Linked DNA regions of Drosophila melanogaster. The protein of the gene in region 1 interacts with the protein of each later gene in a biochemical or structural test. Each region holds a gene or a part of one and is shown in the gene's direction. Other genes may lie near its edges.

Region 1 (9,747 bases):
AATATAATTTAAACAAATATATATATATATACACACGAGTGTATATTTGAGCTCGAGCTGATGACCCACATGACATAACACTAAGAAACATAAAAAGATAAATTCCCAATTATCCGTTACCGCAACCGTCTACGAGAAAATGCATCTACATGTTTATTATTTTTATTACAACTGTTGTTTATAATTACTTTTTATTACGTATATTATATATTGAATGTGCAAGGCAACGTTGAAATGAAAACTCTATATATTGTAAACCACGATTGCATTCAAATACAAGAATAAAACCTAAATGTACACACACAAAAAAACACCGATTAAGTGCTTTTCTGGAAGGCAAACTGGCGGCTCCCTGGGCATTCGCACTTGCTGAAATTGCCATTTGTGCTTTTCAATAAGCCACGGACCGCTGAATATTTGATGGACCGTGCTACCTCGCTCGATGGCGATATAAATCAGCAATCCACTGGGTCTCCATCCCCCGCCCCAAAACGCCCCCACTTGCCATGGCTTTTTGCACACAACGTCATCGCAATTAAGTGAAATTACCGGCCAAATAGAACACAAATGAACCCATTGCTGACCGTCCAAGCACATGACCGGCGATAAGGACCCTGCATTAACATGAAATCCAATTCGCAATTGCATATCCCGACGGGATGGGGTTGGAGGGGTCACCACCCACCACGTGGAGGTGGAACCACCGACTGCACGACAACTCGCCAACCCAAAAAAAAGGGGGTAAAGCGATTGTAATGCAATATTTATGGCCCCGAGTTGCTCGCAGTCAAGTGGAGGCGGTCGACAAGGCTTCCCCGCTAATAATATTACGTTCTGTGCCAGGAATTTCATTTCGCTATTTGCACCCTGTGTTTCTAAAGGACAGGGGTATGTTAAAACAATATCGAATTTCTTTAATTATTGAAGTAAGTTTACTGCTAGCGATTTGAAGTTTTGAATTAATTAACTTGAAAGCAAGTTTTGCGATTCTTATTAAAATAATTCAAAAGGATCAAAGCAATCACTACATTAAAAATTACCAATATTATAATCGTTTTTCTCACATTTGCATTGGAAATGATCTATATATTATAAATATATATAAATAACTAACTTGCTTTATTTTGATCAAGCAAATATAGTGAAAACCGATTAGTTGGTATTCCAAAGTCGAGTAAAGATCGACTAGTTTTTTGCTGCCATTTTTTGTATGCAATTTTTAATTCGCAGCCACAACAACATGCAAAAAAATGTCAGCTCGCTGTTGAAATAGAAAAGAAATCGTGTCGAAGGCAGAGTTTTGGAAAAGGACGTTTGGGGGACTTCAGGTGCAGCGTAAAAAGCCGTAATTAAAGTAGAGCGTACAAGGTGACTGACTAATGCATTGATTCATAGTTTAGATATAAAACGCGCTCCGCCGATAAAATGCCAACCGAAAGGCGTTCACATGCTGAAAATCATGCGGTCAATCCGTCCGTCAGTCAGTTCACCTGGGGTTGCCAGGAATTTGCACCTGCATGTCTATGTCCCTGTTACAAACATATATCCACCCCAAAGGACACGATAACCGCATTGGGCTTAGTCGGCTCATGCATTTTTTACATCGCGCCGTTTGAAAATCCTCTTGCGAAAATTTCGTTCAACGTTCGCGGCTTTTTCTACACACGAAAAAAAAACGATATTCCTTTGGAATTTGTTACATGTAGCGAATTACTTCTTGGAAATGTCTTAGTAGAGTTTTGTTTGAAGTGTAGTTTTGACGAGCCCACTGCATATTGCATGTTGTTGTGGTCACTCGGAAAACTTGTGGCAAATTATTGCATCAACTTTGGCCCGCTGCTTTTAGTTTTTGTTGTTCTTCGCCGCAGGTACAAAGTAATGGAATATCTGAGTACGGCCAGCGCATTAACCCTCCGATGCATCGATCCGTACCGTAATAATCCCCAGCTGACATCCGCATCGAAATCAGTGCAAAAAATCAACTGCATGCCCTGCAATTTCAGGTATTTGCGACGCGACGTCGCCAATTAGATTTGATGACCATTTGCGTTCCGAATGCTCAAATGTTATAAAACAAAAGTCCAGTGGGGCGTTATCCTGCAAAGCGAAAAAGAATGTTAGGAAATGTCATGCGAATTGTGCGACGGTGCAGCCCCCAAAAGGCGGTGGCAATCCAATTCTGCCACATGAAACTGCAATTTGCATGTCTGTCTGCTCGTGTCCTCGGCTCCCGACCACCCATAGCCCAACCACTCGGTTAAGTAATTGCCTCCCAGCGCGGAAAATGGTCAAGCAACAAGTTGAGGTTGATTATTGGGAATATTCGCATGGGCGGTCGCTTTGTGTAAGTGCAGTTTACCCCTTTTACCTTTGGCTGTTATGCATTTGTTTGTAAACAAATGCCCTAACCCCGGATAGAGTGGGTGCAATGTGGCATCGCATTGGAAGTCCTTTCGCTCGGAGCGGGAACCACGCATGCGCCATTCAAATTTCCCGCCACAACTGTTATACATGAGTTTCCCCTGAGGAAAATCCTGAGGGAAATGGTCAGCGATTGGATGCACTAGAGCAATACCAGAATGATCCTTAGGTTTAAAAGAAAACGGAAGCCAGCTGGTCAAGCTAACAAAATGTTGAAAAGCGATACATTTATCTCAAATGAAATATTAGTCCACTGATGACCATAGCATAATATCATATTAAAATGGAAATGAAAAGTGGATAGTTATTAGCCAAGAAAAAAAGTACAGTTTCTCCTTGGCGACCCAATTAAATCCCCCAACTCGAAGCACCTAAATGACCAATACAACCAACTCACACCACTTAAGACACATTCATTTTTGGCTAATTAATAGGCCGTGTGCTAATGGAATTTTCCCCACGATAAGGCAAACCAACCAATAGTCAATCGCTCAAGAAATTACCATTAGGCCCATTGTCACTGGAATATGTTGAATGAAGGCAAACGAATTTATTTGATTTTGACCGCGGTTTCTTGGATAAATATTGAAAAAGCGTAATTAGCGCAGAACACATAATAATGCACTCGAGTGATTAATTAGCGAGGCCAACTCATACCAAAATCATTGACCATCTAAGCGCTTTTCAGCCACTAACGATTTGCTCTCAAATTCTCAGCACGCAGTTGGCATAAAAGTCGAAAAAAGAAATTTGCAATCAAATTGGAAGACCGCAGCGAATAAAAGCCACCGGCTAACTGACCATTTCGGTTTATTGGGTGCACAAATATTGAAAAGAAATTTGCGCTAAACGCCTCAAATTGCCAGGCCTGATAGCCACACGTATCGAAATGGCAATAAATGCAAATGAAAAGCTATAAACACGATAACCAGGCCTACGTCTGTCCACCCTTAACCCATAACCCTTAACCCTCTCTCTCTCTCTCTCTCATTCGAAAGCAAGGGTTATGGTTATGAACACCCGATGTGTGGGTTAACCAAAAGGCATTTTCAATAAATACCAATTATGATGAGCACAGCCTATTGACCATTTAACCGGGCATTCGACTTTGGCAGTTTCGATTTGGGCATGCGAATTATTGTCGAAGTTATTATTCCCATGTTTTCGTTTTGTGGGGTGGAACATATGGCCTTTTTTTCAGGTGGGTCATTCCATGGCCCATTTATGGAATTATGCCATGGCATAAAAATTTGATGAGCTTCAACTTCACAAGTGCCTGGATCCCAATGAAAAGTTTACAATAAACGAGACCGGGGAATTTCCATGATTCGAAATCGCGTGGGTTCTTACGCAAGTTGGGAACTCGCAGCCCCATCCCCTCCGCAGACCAAACTCCATCTATTTTCTATCCAAATTGTCAGTTGGCCAGTTGGCTCCAACATTGCATGTCTTGGCATACGTGGGCCATGAAAAATTCATGGCCCGCCTTCAATGTACTGCCACATAATTAGACTGTGGGGCTGCCAAAAAAATAAAGGTTGTCCTGAAAGCAGGATTGTTAATAGATACCCTGCGGCAAATGAGTGTCGGCAATAACTCGCACACTTAAATCTGAAAGGGAAAAAGTTTATAATATTTTAAAAACTTTTTTTAAAGAGTTCTGATAATTGTTAAATATTCAATCCTATTAAAAACATATATTTAATAAGTAAGATACATATACAATATGATGTGTTAAAAAAATGTATCATAAGATACAATACAATAATTGCTGTAATTACTATCACATGATCACAAGGCCAAATATACCCCTGACAGATCCCACTACACGGTATCCAAATGGAGCACCTGCCCTGCTGTAGGCGATTAGCTTTGTCTATTCGCCGTCGCTCCAAAACCCAATAGATGTGGTCTATAAAAAACAATGCCGCAATCGTTTGATTTCCGCACCAAGATTGCAGCCATTCCAGGTCCTGAAATTTGCGCGCTTATCACTATAATGTCGATTGGTCAGGGCAACCCCCTCAGCACCAAAAGCCCCCCGGGTGGGCCAAAGGGGGGTCGTTTCGCGTAAAGGTCATTGTGTTATTAGTGCCGCTGCACTTAAACTAACGCAAAAGTACCACCATTTATATTATTTATGCCGCATATGGGATATCCTTAGTTGGAGGACTCTTGAAGGTTCTTCGCCGGGTAATTCCCATAATTTGGCTAAATATAATCTAGATTTTTATTTTTAAAACCGAAGAAGGATTTACTTGGCGTCCAGTGGCAAAGTTTTCAATATAAAATGCCCGTCACGGCAACTAATTGAATGCTATGTTTTCCATGTTGTTTTGAAGGCCTTTCGACTGGGGTGTACTTAGCAAATTGCTTGTCCTTTGTTGCATAATAAATGGAATGTAAACACAAGTGCGCCATGAACCGAAAACACACCGAACTTGGACTCCATTTTTTTTTGCGCGGCCAGCAAAGAGGTCAGCATTACAAATGGAGCACCTCCCAACCATCCATCCAATCCGGTAATTTTGGGCCTTTGTGCGATTGACACACGCATGTCAGGCCCCATTACTGGATCTCCATCAGGCATTACCTCCTCCTTACCCTACATCGCCAGTTAATTCCATTGGAAATTGCGCATTGCCGTTTGGATTTTCCTTGCACCTGACGCACCAATCGAACGCCCAACCACCCATTTACCACCCCCCCCCCCCCACACACACACACACAAAAGACACACGCCCATCCATCAGAAAAGATAATTTACCGGTCGGCCATATCGATCGTGTGAAGCTCGCAACGCTTTTCCGTACCTCCTTCCCGAATTGCGTGCCGTGATGTTCAATTTTCCGTAGAGTGGACAAACGAAACCGCAAATGGAAAAACTAAACCAACTATTTTAGCCGCCAAAGGGGGCGGGGGGCGGGGCATTTGGCCATCGGCGGTCTTTTGGGTTTGAGGTGACCAACATGTGTGCCGCATACATGAATTATTAATTGACAATTGCCGAAAATGTCCATTAACCGGGACAAAAGGGAAGGAGCACGGAATTGGGGGTGGGATCGGGTGCCGGGAAAATTTCAATTCCAGGCTAATGAAAATTATGGCAAACTAACCCCGTTTTTCCGTCCACTGGCAGGTGTTTCCATTTTCCTTAGCAAACTTCTAAAGAGTCGATCGGCTACTATGTCAATTCATTGTATGTAGAGATACTTTAATGCATAGTTCATTTGTAAAGTTAAGTTACTAAAACGTATAAATAAGAAATCTTGTGATTGAAAGGAGTTGAATTTCATATATATACCTTTAAAGGGTATCCACAATTCGAAAGACCCGAAAACACTCATGTACAGTTGCAAATTACCACTTCCTGTGGACTTCGCTTGCACTGTCAGTTTTGTGAACATGGCTAATTGCTCTGGTTTAATGTGGCACGCTCTATTGGCCAACTGATCGTTTTTGGCCGAAATATATTTTCTATCAGCTTGGCATCAATGTTCATTCCCCAGCTATTGGGATGACAATTATTTCTACGTTTAAAAGCGACAGTCAAAAACGAGGCACACGCATTAAGTACCAGGCATTATATAATAAATCTCCCTACAAGTGTTACAATAGACCCACAGCCAAAACAGCTGAACTAACAACAAGAGTTGGTCAACGAAATAGCCGGTTTTGAGTGAGAGAGCCGCTTCTATTCACTGACGTGTCATTCAACTCGATCGAGAAATTGTGGAGACGAGAACTTCAGAGCATTTCAGACTACCAGAGAGTCCAGAACTGAGTGAGTTGGCCAAAGCAGCCAAACAATTTCAGCTGAGCGAAGCGTAAACTGGCCCAAAACTCGAACTCGAATACAACTTTACCGCTCTTCTCGCGCTCGTTTTTAGCCAGTTTGCGCTGACAAACGGCAAGAGTAGGGTCAAGTTCAGAAGTCTCTGGTTTTTGCCACGAAGATGATGCATATTTTGGTGACTCTGCTCCTGGTCGCTATCCACTCGATACCCACCACCTGGGCCGTCACCTGCACGGGCTGCGTGGATCTGGATGAGCTGAGTTTCGAGAAGACGGTGGAACGATTTCCCTACTCCGTAGTGAAATTTGATATCGCATATCCGTATGGGGAAAAGCATGAGGCCTTTACCGCCTTCTCCAAATCTGCCCACAAGGCAACTAAAGATCTGCTAATAGCCACCGTGGGTGTCAAGGACTATGGAGAACTGGAGAACAAGGTGAGTTTTATTTTATGGATTACCTAGGATTTAGATATGTGGTAATGATTGGAAAAAATGTGGTTTCTGCTCTGTTCATTTGGAATCCTGGATTGCAGCCTAAAGCTTGGATGCCCTTCTAAAGACTCTGTGCTATTTAAATTATTTAAAAGCACTTTAAATTTGATTTATTTATTATTTCAACTTTTTAATCCCAATTTGCAGGCCCTGGGCGACCGTTACAAAGTCGACGACAAGAACTTCCCGAGTATCTTCCTGTTCAAGGGCAACGCTGATGAGTACGTCCAGCTTCCTAGCCACGTCGACGTAACGCTGGACAATCTGAAGGCTTTTGTCAGTGCCAACACACCTCTGTACATCGGTCGTGATGGCTGCATCAAAGAGTTCAACGAAGTGCTCAAGAACTATGCCAATATCCCCGATGCAGAGCAACTGAAGCTTATCGAAAAGCTGCAGGCCAAGCAGGAGCAGCTGACCGATCCCGAGCAGCAGCAGAACGCCAGGGCCTATCTGATCTACATGCGGAAGATCCACGAGGTGGGCTACGATTTCCTGGAGGAGGAGACCAAGCGACTCCTGCGCCTCAAGGCCGGCAAGGTCACCGAGGCCAAGAAGGAGGAGCTGCTGAGGAAACTGAACATCCTGGAAGTCTTCAGGGTTCACAAGGTCACCAAGACAGCGCCGGAAAAGGAGGAACTGTGAACTTGTTAGATCTTTAAACAAAATTATGAATACTTTATGATATTTATAAATGTCGGATCTCGACAGAAACATGTGAATGTACAATTTATACGAATTATAAGTCTATCATCCAAATAAAGACAGTTTTTTATGTTGAAATGCCTTGTAGTAATTAAATCAAACTATTTTATTTCCACTCCTCATTGCCAGTTAACAAGTCAGTTAAACACAAATAAGCCTTCAATTTATAAGTCCTCTGGTACATGCATATTTACATTTACATAGAACTTCGTTTTACCATTAATTAGAAAGTCTAGGCGTGATAAATAATCTCCAGAGGGAAATGGAAGGGGTAGTGAAATGCGATGAAAATCGTTAAGTACCACCGTACCCTGCAAATCGACCAAAAAAGGATATATAATTGTATATTATTTTGATTAAAAACCTTACCACATACGGGCAAGAATGGTTGATGTTGGATGCATCCTTTATCATATTATAAACTATTTTAATGACGGGATTATTTGGTTTTCGCAAAAATTGGCAGGCATCGACGGTGATATCGAAAAGAAAAGGCTTGTAACCATTGGCCCTCTTCAGCATCTGAAATCTGACAGATATGCTATTGATTGGATGCAAAAAGGTTGCATTTATGTGCAAACTAGTCTTGGTCCTGGAATAGGCCTTCAATCGACAGTAATGAAAAACGGTCAACGATTTATCATATGATTCACAAACAACATTTGTCATTTTAACCATAGCCGAATCCTAAAGAAGTAAATATACTTTCTACATTTTATTAAAAACAATATCGGGCAATCTTACGCTGTAAACCAAAAAAACGACAGCCACAAAAACTCCCAGAATTATCACATTGGCCAGCATGTCCGACAAACACAAAAATCAATTTAAGACTGTAATATAAACTATGAACTAGGTGATGGTAGTTCAACACATAATTAAGATATACTTTTCATAAATATGTTTACCTCTTTAATTACACAAAATTGATATATTAGTCAGCACAAAACGATTCAGCGTGTTTAGGTATACCATTTAAAATAGAAACTTAATATAGTAATGCTTAAAAAACATTGAAATCAGATACAAAAAGTTACCTATTGCAAACTTTATGTTTTAACCCAGAAATGGCTGTCTTTGAAATAATCGATTTGTTTCATTGATTAATTTTGCTGTCTTCTGATTTGATCTGAGTGATATATTGTGGGTTGTCTTGTACTGAAGAGGTTATTAAAATTCAATTTCAGTGATGGTAGCACGATATCTGATGTATTTTTTAATTATACAAAATTGATTTGATATGCAACAATCATTACGGTGCTAGTTTTGCGTTCATTCGAATATATCTGCTACATATCTGCTCTGTTTTAGAATACCCTTAAATGATAAATAAACTGTCTAAAACCGAAGGTATATATTAGTGTTGAAGCACAAAAAATAGCTTCAAATGTAAGCAGATACTAATGAAGTTGTATATTAAGAAAAACGTTTCCAAAAGCTTGGGCAAATATGACTTAATGATGCAAGTGCGGTTAACTAATAATATAGGTAATAAATTGAAATTGTGTTTTCGTTGAGGGTCATATTTGCAAAAGCTGGTAGCTATGTATGAGCGAACTAGCGAAATCTATTAAATAATTATATTTTCAAGATATCTTAATCAAATAATTATGTTTTTCTTAAACTGTTTATTAGCTTCAATAAGTTCAATTAAGAACTATAATGTTCATAGAAACGGGTGGTCAAAAATCCTCCACAAAGTTAAAATAAATATTCACGTGAAACTGCTTCTTAGCATAGAAGATGAAATCTAGTAACACTCCATAGTCTCCTGAAGGTAATGGTACTGGAAATACAGCGGTGTGATAATCGCTAACCACTTGCAAGCCCTAAAAAAATGATTAAAGTTATTAAATTTGCTGATGGCCAATATGGCGTAACCTAACTTACCACATAAGGACATGTATGATTTAGTGTAGAATAATCCTTTATAAAGCTATAAAACATTTTTATGACGGGATTATGTCGTTTTCGCAGAAATTGGCAGGCGTCGATTGTGACATCGAAGAGAAATGGCTTATAGCCACTTAATCTTTTCACCATCTTTAATCTGAGGGATACATTATTCGTTGGATGCAGAAATGTTGCATTTATGTTCAAGCTGGTCTTGTTACGCGAGTAAGCCTTTAGCCGGCAATAATGAAAAACAGCCCAGGATTTGTTTATTGATTCACAAACTACATTTGTCAGCTTAATATTGGGTGCTTCCTGAAAATATATTATTTAGTTTCACTTTCAAAATTTAAATTTTTCTCACACTTACACTGCTGATGAGGAACAAAGCTGCTAAAAAAACTCCAGGAAGGATAACGTTAGAATTCATTGATGATAT
Region 2 (9,747 bases), on another chromosome or scaffold:
ATCGTACAGCACAAACAAGCAAATGACATCACCTAGTGGTTTATTATATACAAGTCGATACAGCTAGTTAATTAAATGCAATTGTTATTAATGAATTAAGTAGAGCTCCAAACCAGAGATATGCACTTAATCGAGAGAACTGCCAAAGGATTAGACAACAAAACAACAAAACAATCAATGTAAATATTTCTGTCGAGCAATAACTTGTTTTGCGTTAGCATTTATGTTCGTAATTTGAACACAAACCGATTCCACTTAAGTAGCTGCAGTGAGTAATATTCCTAAAGTCAATAGACTTTGTAAAAACTACGAGCGAAGAATAATAATAAACTGTATGCAAAACTACCATTTAAGACACGGCTCATAACCCATATAAACAATCAAACTTTTGGCAGTTGCAGTAGGATTAAGCAAACAACACCAAGAAGAAGCGGAAAAGGACATAAGTACTTTATTTTATAGACACTGAACTAGGGCAAAAATTATGAAACTGAATACTGAAAGCAAAGCAAATACTGGCTGCAGTGGGAATTTTAAAAATTTAAGAACCTCTGCCACGCCGGCAGAGTCCACATCCATAAAAACCCATTAAAATTTCAACTGCAATGAAACTTTGCCGAAAAGCGTGTGTATAAAAAATATATGATTTAGCCAGCATAAAAAGTAAATGAAAATATATACATAAATTAAATCAAATATTTTCGGTTGGCATTTTTTGATAGCAAATAACCTAAATATTTATAGCTAAAAAAGAAAGAAAGAAAAATTACCAAAACGCACTTTGTACAATTTAATAAAAAACGAGCAGTTTATATTATTTCCAGACACACAGCATAGCATACACATACATATATGATATTTTACACACATTCGAATAAGAGATAAAATAATACCGAAACATATACGAGAGCGAAAAGAAATTAAATTAATTAAAAAGGGCGCATAGGCCGAAAATGCATTTTTACTGCCGCCAATTGAGGACAAAACTAAAAATCGAAAACACGGCCGGCAGGGCATTTGAATAGTTAGCTTTAAGCCCGGCTAAAAATGCTGTAACTACTTTGTTGGCCACCATTGTCACTCACACAAACTCACATCTCAATCATCAGTTCGGTTCAGTTCCTTCTCTCAACCAAACCAAACTATGGAAATTTCTGTGCCAACTGTGTTTAAAGTAGAATTCAAAGATAAAATACGAGATAAAAGAGGGGGGGCCGGCGGATGGAGAAATTGAATTATGACCGCACACGAAACATTGCATATAATTTATTTGAAATGTTCAAAAATAAAGTAGACGAAACGAGAAGAAAACGCTGCGCGATGGTAAATAACAATATAATACAGACAGCTGTGTAAATAGTCAAACTGCGTACAGTCTACGCATATTTAATTAAAAACCGAAAAAAAAACTGATAAAACTGAAAAAAGTGACGCAATGAGATGGAATTTGAGAAAGGAGATCATGTCTTAAGTTCCATTTCGGAATTCACCCGATTTTCATTTCCTTTCACCGTTCGATAGAGTAAGTTTCACTTGTATGATAAATAAAACTAAACCAAATATTTATATAGAGATATTATACGTATATGAAAAGGAAACCTTAAGTTAATGACGCACTGAATCAAATAGATGAAACGAGTATTTAAAACCAAGACAATTAAAACCAAAAGGAACTTTAAGCAAAATAAAACCGATGAAAAAATTAAACTGAACACAGAGCACCTTTCTCTATTAGCCAAAATTGCAAAAGTGGGTGGTTGGGCGTTTGATTTTCGGGTGGAATAGATGGGGTGTTTAGTGGGTGGAATGCCAACTGTTCCGTTTGACGCTCGGGGGAAAACCGTTGGCCAAACTAAGGCGAACTCAAATCGTGTCCAAATAGCTGGCAGTCAAGTAGGCCACAGATTTTGATTGCCCGCATCCGGGCAGCAATCGGTGGACATCCTCGAAAATTCGGAACATCGAACGAGATGCTGTTAAAGCCAAGCCAAGCCGGTAGCTCCAGGCGTGTGTTCTCACCGGTCGGAACTCGGATTGGCCGTGGGATCGGGTTGTGGCTATGGGCTTTCCATGTCCCCCGCCTCGCCCACGCTGAGCCCGCATAAAACATAAGCCACCGGCCTGGTGCTCGTGTGGTGTGTGCTCTATATCCCACAGATTTCGCCTCCTCCCTCGGATTGCCCAGTTCTCTGACTCCGTGTTTATGGCCGGCAGCTCTGTTTCTGGACCTGGCAACTCTGGCCCGTGGACTTGGCCAAAATGGCTTTGATGGGCGTGGGCGACAAAAGGACCGGAAATCGCTAACGAGGCGTGGTAAAGCAGTTTTTGCAGTAAGTTTGAATATCAAGGTAGATACTCAAAAAATTGAATAACAAAGCATAATCAAATTTAATGGAGGGATCTACCTTGAATGTATTTTGTTATTATTGTATTACAGCTTATCAAACTAATCACTAGTATGTTTGTTGCTTTTATTTATTATTAACACATTTAAATATCTGGCTATTAAAGTTAATAATTTTGCAGTTCTTTTTATGCCGTGGTCATTAATATACATATAATACATATATCTACTAAAAGTATTCACTCTAGATTAATGCAAATTGATGAAATTATTTATTTATCGTACGCACTTACATATAACATATACATATAATATATTAATTTAGAATTTGTGTAAATAATAAATTTATTTACCGAATACGATTTTAAATTTCTTTTATATATTTAAGCGGATGTATTAAACATGCCAACCAATTAACATGGAAAACCTCGCTGCATAAAATACACTGCCGAGTATTGGCCAAATATAATATATACGCACACCTGCCACAAACTCACACAATCAGCTATTTGTGTTTGCACCTAGGGCCAATTGCAGTTGTTTACAATCGAGTTGGCCAGCTCAGCGCAATCGGCACAGCCACAAAGGGACAGTTGGCAGCAAAAAACCATGGCATCGGACCGAAGATATAGCCAACATATTGTGAGCGACCACAATTGGACAGCTGATAAACTTAACCCGAAAACCGACAGCCTAACAACTCGTCGGCTTTTAAGTTTCGAAATCGGAGAAAGAGTCTGATCATTCAGATAGCTCAATTATCTCAGTCGATTTGGACAGTCATCAATGCAATAGGCAGCAACTTTACAAGTTTTTAGCTACTCACTTTCTTGGTACCAAATGCTGAAATACCTTTAATTATTACCAGATAAACACAAGACATGTGCCGCCAACGCATTTCGTTTTAATTTTACTTTTATGTTTTGGCTGTTTTTATGTTGAGGCTGGCGTTTTTCCATTTTTTTGCAATTGTTATCGAGAAATTTACACGAATTTTCAACTTGTTGCTGAAATAAAAAAAGTTTAATAAGACTAAACAATCAGTTTTTTGTCGGTCCTAAAAATGTGGACCTATGCAGATAGTTATGGGTAAACGCTTAAATTCGACAGCCGTCTGACGCCAGTTAGTGGACAAGTCAGTTACAGTGAGAGTTAAAAGTTAAGGTACCTGAAAAAGATAATTTAAAGTAATATATGATAAGACACACTTAAATAAAAGAGTAAAGGTATAAATATATTGAAATCTAGTATTAATTCTCGTAAATTAAAAATTCGTACCTCAATTTAATTTTTAAATGTTCTAATTTAATCGGAAAAAAGATTTCTTTGAGGCACTGTGCCATAAGAGTCAACTGTTGAATAAGGGTCAATGAGCTTAGCTTTGTGGACAGCAAGTGGGGAGATCGCGGAATCCAACTCTTGTAGAAACTATAGATTTGAGTTTGGCAAAAATTAAGCTTAGATCCCGAAGTTTGGCTAACGAACGAGGCGAGAAGACAGACATCGAGAAGAATCGCTTATATATGTACGAATGGCCAAAACTAATCGATGGAAATTACAAAAGCGGGAAGGTCAACTTTTCGACTGTCCATTGGGGGGGATGGGTTCAAAGGTAAACCTGTTTTTAATTCTAATTCTCCCTTCCTCTATGAAGAAATAGAAAAAACTAAAGTTCTTATTTTTGCCAACGTGGTTTGGATCACACGCAATATGTTCTATTCAACCGAACAAATTACCATTAAGGTCGGTAAACCAGCTGATCCAATAAAGGATATTGAAACAAGTGCCCGAAATTCGATTCCTTGCGCAGAGAATAAAGACACTTCGCTGTTTGGACGACCTAAATAAATATGTCTAAGTAGATTAATGTCAGATGTGGGGTAATAATAAAAATGTTGCCACAGACAAATGGGCTACAGTCACGTCCCCACGAAATCAGTCAGCCAGCGAACAAAGAGCGATCAAAAGAGCGAATAAACAGAGCCAAAGAGAGTCGAAGAAAATGGTAAAAGCAAACAGTGGTAAGCCGCCGCTGCCAACGTCTTAAAGTTGGCCAAAAAGGCGGCCAAGTGCCCCCAGGAACATTCAGTCAAGCCGCGATCGCCGAGCTCTACGGACGTCTATATCTCTAAGTCTTCGAATCGTGAATCGGAACTCAAGTGAACCCAAGTGCCGACCGGAAAATTCTTTCGGCCAAGAAAGGTCTTCGAGAACTAAGATCTCAAGCGATTGTGTTTTTTGTGTAATTGACATTGGATGTCTCTGAACGCCGAGCGATCGTACAAAATGAAACTGCGCGATGTGGAAAATGCCTTCAAATACCGGCGCATACCGTATCCCAAGCGGTAAGTGTGGTCTTCAGCCGAGAAAAAGGCGGCGGAGAAAAGATTTCTTTCACTCGAGAACGGTGTTCGTTTCAAAGGGGAAATGCAATTGAGTTCCAGTTTCAGTTAAATTGAAAACCGGTCATAATTGCCATTGAATGGCCAGAGAATCGAAATCGAGTTGGTAGATCGAAGATTGCGTTTGCCGCAGCGCTAAAGATTAAAAATACTCTGCTCTCGATTCTCCATAAAAAGCGCTTAACTTTCCGTTTTTCGCATCTGGCTAAAAGTGATAGTGTTTCAGGGTCGTTGTATTTGATAAATAAAATTAAATAAAAACTCCAATTGCTGGCCAGAGCAGTTCGAACATTCTTGACGGACTTTAAGTAGTGCCAGCCAGTAAATTAATTGCAGCTACACTAGAAGAAATAGATATTTTTGATCTTAAATTTAATATGAATCTCATCGACTTAGATGGGTTTATGTAGATCGACGAGCTTTAAGAACTTTATTTTAAAAAATTGATTGAGTACTTTTAATTAAGCTATGAAAAATTGTTACGAATGCTGATATGAGCTTCCAAGTACTGTATCAATTGAAAATATTTTCAAAAATTTATATATACAAAAAGGGGTCTATTATTTATCCTTTTATTTTTTTTGTATTTATTATTTATACTTTGAAAATGTTTTCTTATATTTTGAAGACTTATTAAAAGCAAGTATTAAAGCTTTGTAAACACTGTACTTCAACATTTAATTTTAAATGTTTCATAAACTTTTCTCTGTGCACTTGCGTCTGTCGTTTTTTCAATCTCTGCTCCAGTTAAAAGCTACAATCTTGTTTCTATTTTTTATTGCGTTTTTCATTTTCAATTCTTCTCATAATTCATTTGGTGTAGCACCTCGGGGCGGCAGATGAAGAGGAGGAAAACCACAAAAGCCGAGCTCACTTCAACTATTTCAAGTAGCCAAAAGAGCCGTGTCTTACCACCATCCTACCACTGCATTGTGTGGGCCTGCATTTTTCGGTGTTTGTTCTGGCCTTTTACAGAACCCAACTCGGCTCAGTTCGGGCCAAGTCAGCTCAGATAAAAGTTAAGAGCCCCCCAACTTGACTGCCCGCTCATTAGTCGATGGTCGATGGTCGACGGCCGGCGGTTTCTGCGGCCGCCCATAACAATTTTGGCTATTAAAAGGTGTTTAGGCCAGAGAACTGAGCCACTGCGTCCGCTATTGTGAAAGATTCGCTCTTTTTTCCGTTTGTATGGCCAAATTTGTTGCAACGAGTGCGTCGAGATGTAAACTAATGATATACCGACTACACATGTTATGGGCTAATTGGCTTTTGGGAAACTATTTCTTACCGTTTTTGTTGACTTTTTAAAAGGGTGTGAGAATTTGCTTTTCATTAAGGCAAAACGTGGTGAAGTCATGGCTCACAGCTATTTGCGTATAACTGTGAGATCTTAGCTCAAGCTAATGGCAAATTGGATCAACGACATACATATGTTTTATATTTTATTTAAACATTTTCCCACTTATTGAGTCCCTGCTAGATATCCTTTTTTCCTATAAAGCCCTCGTTAATTTTCGCGAAGCGAGGCCCATTTCCCGTTTATTTGCAGAACAAATTATTACATTAAATGTATGAATTACTGGCATTAATTAAACACATGGCTTAAATGTAGATATGTGTGATACTTTCTGTGGTTACCGCTGGCTGGAGCATAAATTTTACGCTCATTTTGACAATTTCATGCAGCTGCAAACTCTCAGTCAATCAGTTGGCCACTCAGTCAGTCTGCCAATCAATCAGGTAAACATTTATTTTTTATCCATTTCCGATGGCCAGGCGACTTAGTGAAACGAGTAATCTTGCCATTTGCACAACAAAATAGTGCAAATATTTGAATATGGATATGATTTATCACAACAGATACGAATTGTCCTGCAGAGAAACATAAATACATAAATTCCCAGCCATATTGCTGCGTACACTTACGTCGTTATTTGCACAATTCTTTTGTACGCTCTCAAATTGATATTAATTAATGAAATTAATTGGTTTTGCTTAAATAACTCGGCGACAGATGTTTGGCAGCTTCATTATCCGGACACGCGATAAATGAGCATACGTAGAAAATGAGTTCGTTGCACCCAGTTGAGAAAAATCAGTCGGAATCGATTCGAATCGATTTGAAAAGTCAAAAAAGACAATTATACGCTCAATGAGTGGAATGAAGTGCAGTTATGCAATAATTTCTTTCGAATTAGCATAAATTACGTTTCTGATTTGCTTTCCATTTGGATTAGGGTTTACCTAATACAAAAAACAAAACTCACTCTTATTTTCACTGCAAGCCGAAGCGTGACAGAAATTATTTAGAACGCCCCAAAAGAAAGAGGGCGAAGACTCAAGCCGCGCTTGAAAAGACTGTAGCTGGCTCTTCGCTGCCGAGTCTACAAGTCTTCAAGTCTTTCTTCTGTGCGCCTTTCTCAGCAATTCTTCTCTTTCTTGCCAGTTTCTTTCTTTCTCTGGGCGCCACGACATGCAGTCACTTACTCTTTGGTAATTATATTCAGTGATGTGATTTGTTTTTCTTTTCTTCATTTTCTTTCGAGTTTTGCATGCCGTTTTGTTTTATTTTGCCTGTCTTTCTGCAATGGAAATGATGCATATTGGGAATTTTACACGCTGCCGGTGGCCCGCGGGAAAGTTAATTATTGCTGTCTGTCTGCGGCGGGTGGCAAATTAAAAAATAATTATTAACAAAAACATATATATGTGCTAAATTTTATGTTTTAAAACGGCAATTAAAATGTTTTTCTTCACACACTAAGAAACAAACGAATTTATAGCTGTAGGGTTAAATACACGACTTTCTTTTTTATGGTTTACAAATATTTAGGAAAATATTATTAAAAAAGAATGAAACAAGTGAGTTGGGCCTTACGAGCTTTTTTCCGCTTACACAATCTTGTTTACACTCTTAGGATTTTTAACAGTGAATTAAGCGAAACAAAAATATATAAAACCTATATTAAATGGAATACAATTATCATATATAAAAAATTATTTTCAAAATTATTAGCTGTGCCAAAAACAAACTTGGCTCTTTAATATGGTATGTTTACCCATCCAATTACATATATTTTCAAAGTTTACAGAATAACAAGAGCACATTTTGAGTGCTTTTAAGCCCGTATTTTACACAATTTTCGTAAAACTTCACACCTAACCCGCATGATCAGGTGAAACTGTAGGCCCTCTGCCCACATATGACTCCCTTTTTCACTGATAATTTCGCACGCAACTTTTGGCAAGTGAAAGCCCACAAAATATTCACATGTTTTGTATACATTATAGCAATTTATGACCACAGCCGTTTAGCACCTTTCAGAAGAGATGACCGGCAATTTTACTGGGCCAATTTCGGAGAGCAACAAACGCCCACCGGTAGTCACTAACTATGTGGCTGTTATTAGTTGGCCATAAAAACAAAAACTTCGGTTATGGCTGTGTGGACATCAAAAACAACGCCCTCTCCCACGAAAGAGTTTTTCTACATTATGTAAAAACGGTCGAATGCTGGGCGCAGAGTGGCAAACACAAAATGCTAAAAAAAAAATTCGCAATATTTTTAGCACAGTTTATGTATTACGGAGGCTCTATAAGAAAGCCAAAGCCAAAGCTGATTAACACAATCATGTGAAAAATGTGCAACACTTTTCGGCTAAAAATAAAACAAGTGCAGAGATATAGCCAGACGCAGCAGACAAGTGGAAATTATGTGTATAGCTTTCACTTGATTTACAAATATGGGCTGCGGGACAAGGGGGCGTGGCCAGCAATGCGTAACAGCCAAGTGATGATGACAATGATGAATTTTTCTTTTCGTCTTCTGACGGACTTCAAGTTTCAAGTTTGCCAGGTGTAAATTGATGGCCAAAAAGGTGAAGTTGAACGAAAGGTGCATCTAGTTCAAAGTCATTGAGCATGGTCTTTAAAATGAAATAGTCATGGGTGTAATCAAGGTAAAGGCTAGTCAAATGTTTCATAGGGCTAAGTTGAGGGACTTGTTGTTGTATTATTATTTTTTCAAGGGTATACAATAGCTAATAGTCCAGCGCCCAGGTGGCGCATCTTTTCAGTTTTGTACAAATGATCATCAACTAATTACCCTTTCACCGCGCTGATAAAAACAATGAAGAAAACTCATTAATAGCACTACAGCCAACATGGTCCCCTAATTTATTTAGGCACTTCCTTGCCCGAAAAGACTTTCATAAAAATTATCTTTATGCAATGCATAAAATGTTTGAAGAAGCACATAAACCTCCTTTCAATTTGTGTTTTTCCCCAAAACATATAAAGATGTTGTTACTCGTACTTTCATACTTCATAAAATTTGATTGTTTTTGATCAAATATGCATGCAAAATGCTATAAATAAGAAACCAGGCTAAATGTGAATAAAAAGCAAAATGTGTGTGTTTACTTTTTTTGCGACCGTATCCGTACGTTTCTTTCTTTTTCTTTTTTTAAGTTTGCCAAATGCAGACGAGGCAAAATTGAATTTAATTTATCTGCTGCTTCTTCACTCTCACACAGCGAAAGTGAGTTAACGCTTAGCTTGAGATCCGAACTTGGTAAATACCTCGAGTATGTAAATCACTTTTTACAGCCGGCAAACTGCGAAGATTTATGGCCACCAGCTACTTGGGCGAGCAGAATATTTAACGGTGGGACATGTCTGGGATCCCAAGAGATAGATCTCCAGGTGGGCGGTGCTCGTCTTGGCCATCAGGTGAAAGCATTGAACTCCAATTAGCGGGCGCATTTATGATTCTTTTCACTTTTCCGCCAGTCAAGCGCCCAGAGAACTTTCGATGTTAATTGGAATAAAATAACTAGTTTTTAAATAAAGAATTCCCGAAAATAGCTTACTATACTTCACAGGCATATGAATAACAATAATTGGTAATACAACTTAGAATGCAGGTGAGCAAAAAGTTAAGTTGCTTTTTTTAATTTGTGTGTGCCTCTCCCTTGCAAAAAGGCGAAGGCAACGCCTGGC

The links.
Region 2: the proteins of wbl (region 1) and pip interact in far-western blotting, tested with the Drosophila melanogaster proteins (one study listed by BioGRID).

What each region holds. Positions count from the first base shown.
Region 1 is NT_033778.4:19,243,448-19,253,194, forward strand, and holds wbl (windbeutel), read left to right. Parts: upstream 1-5,947; 5' UTR 5,948-6,377; coding exon 6,378-6,653; intron 6,654-6,857; coding exon 6,858-7,355; 3' UTR 7,356-7,470; downstream 7,471-9,747. Other genes in the region: CG33454 (uncharacterized protein), read right to left, coding at 7,580-7,726, 7,788-8,102, 8,160-8,219; CG33453 (uncharacterized protein), read right to left, coding at 9,098-9,244, 9,309-9,623, 9,673-9,738. UniProt on the Drosophila melanogaster protein: Probable chaperone protein involved in dorsoventral axis patterning in early embryos. Probably acts by folding and targeting pipe (pip) into the Golgi.
Region 2 is NT_037436.4:19,332,284-19,342,030, reverse strand, and holds the start of pip (pipe), read left to right. Parts: upstream 1-4,421; 5' UTR 4,422-4,600; coding exon 4,601-4,689; intron 4,690-9,747. UniProt on the Drosophila melanogaster protein: Sulfotransferase involved in dorsoventral axis patterning in early embryos.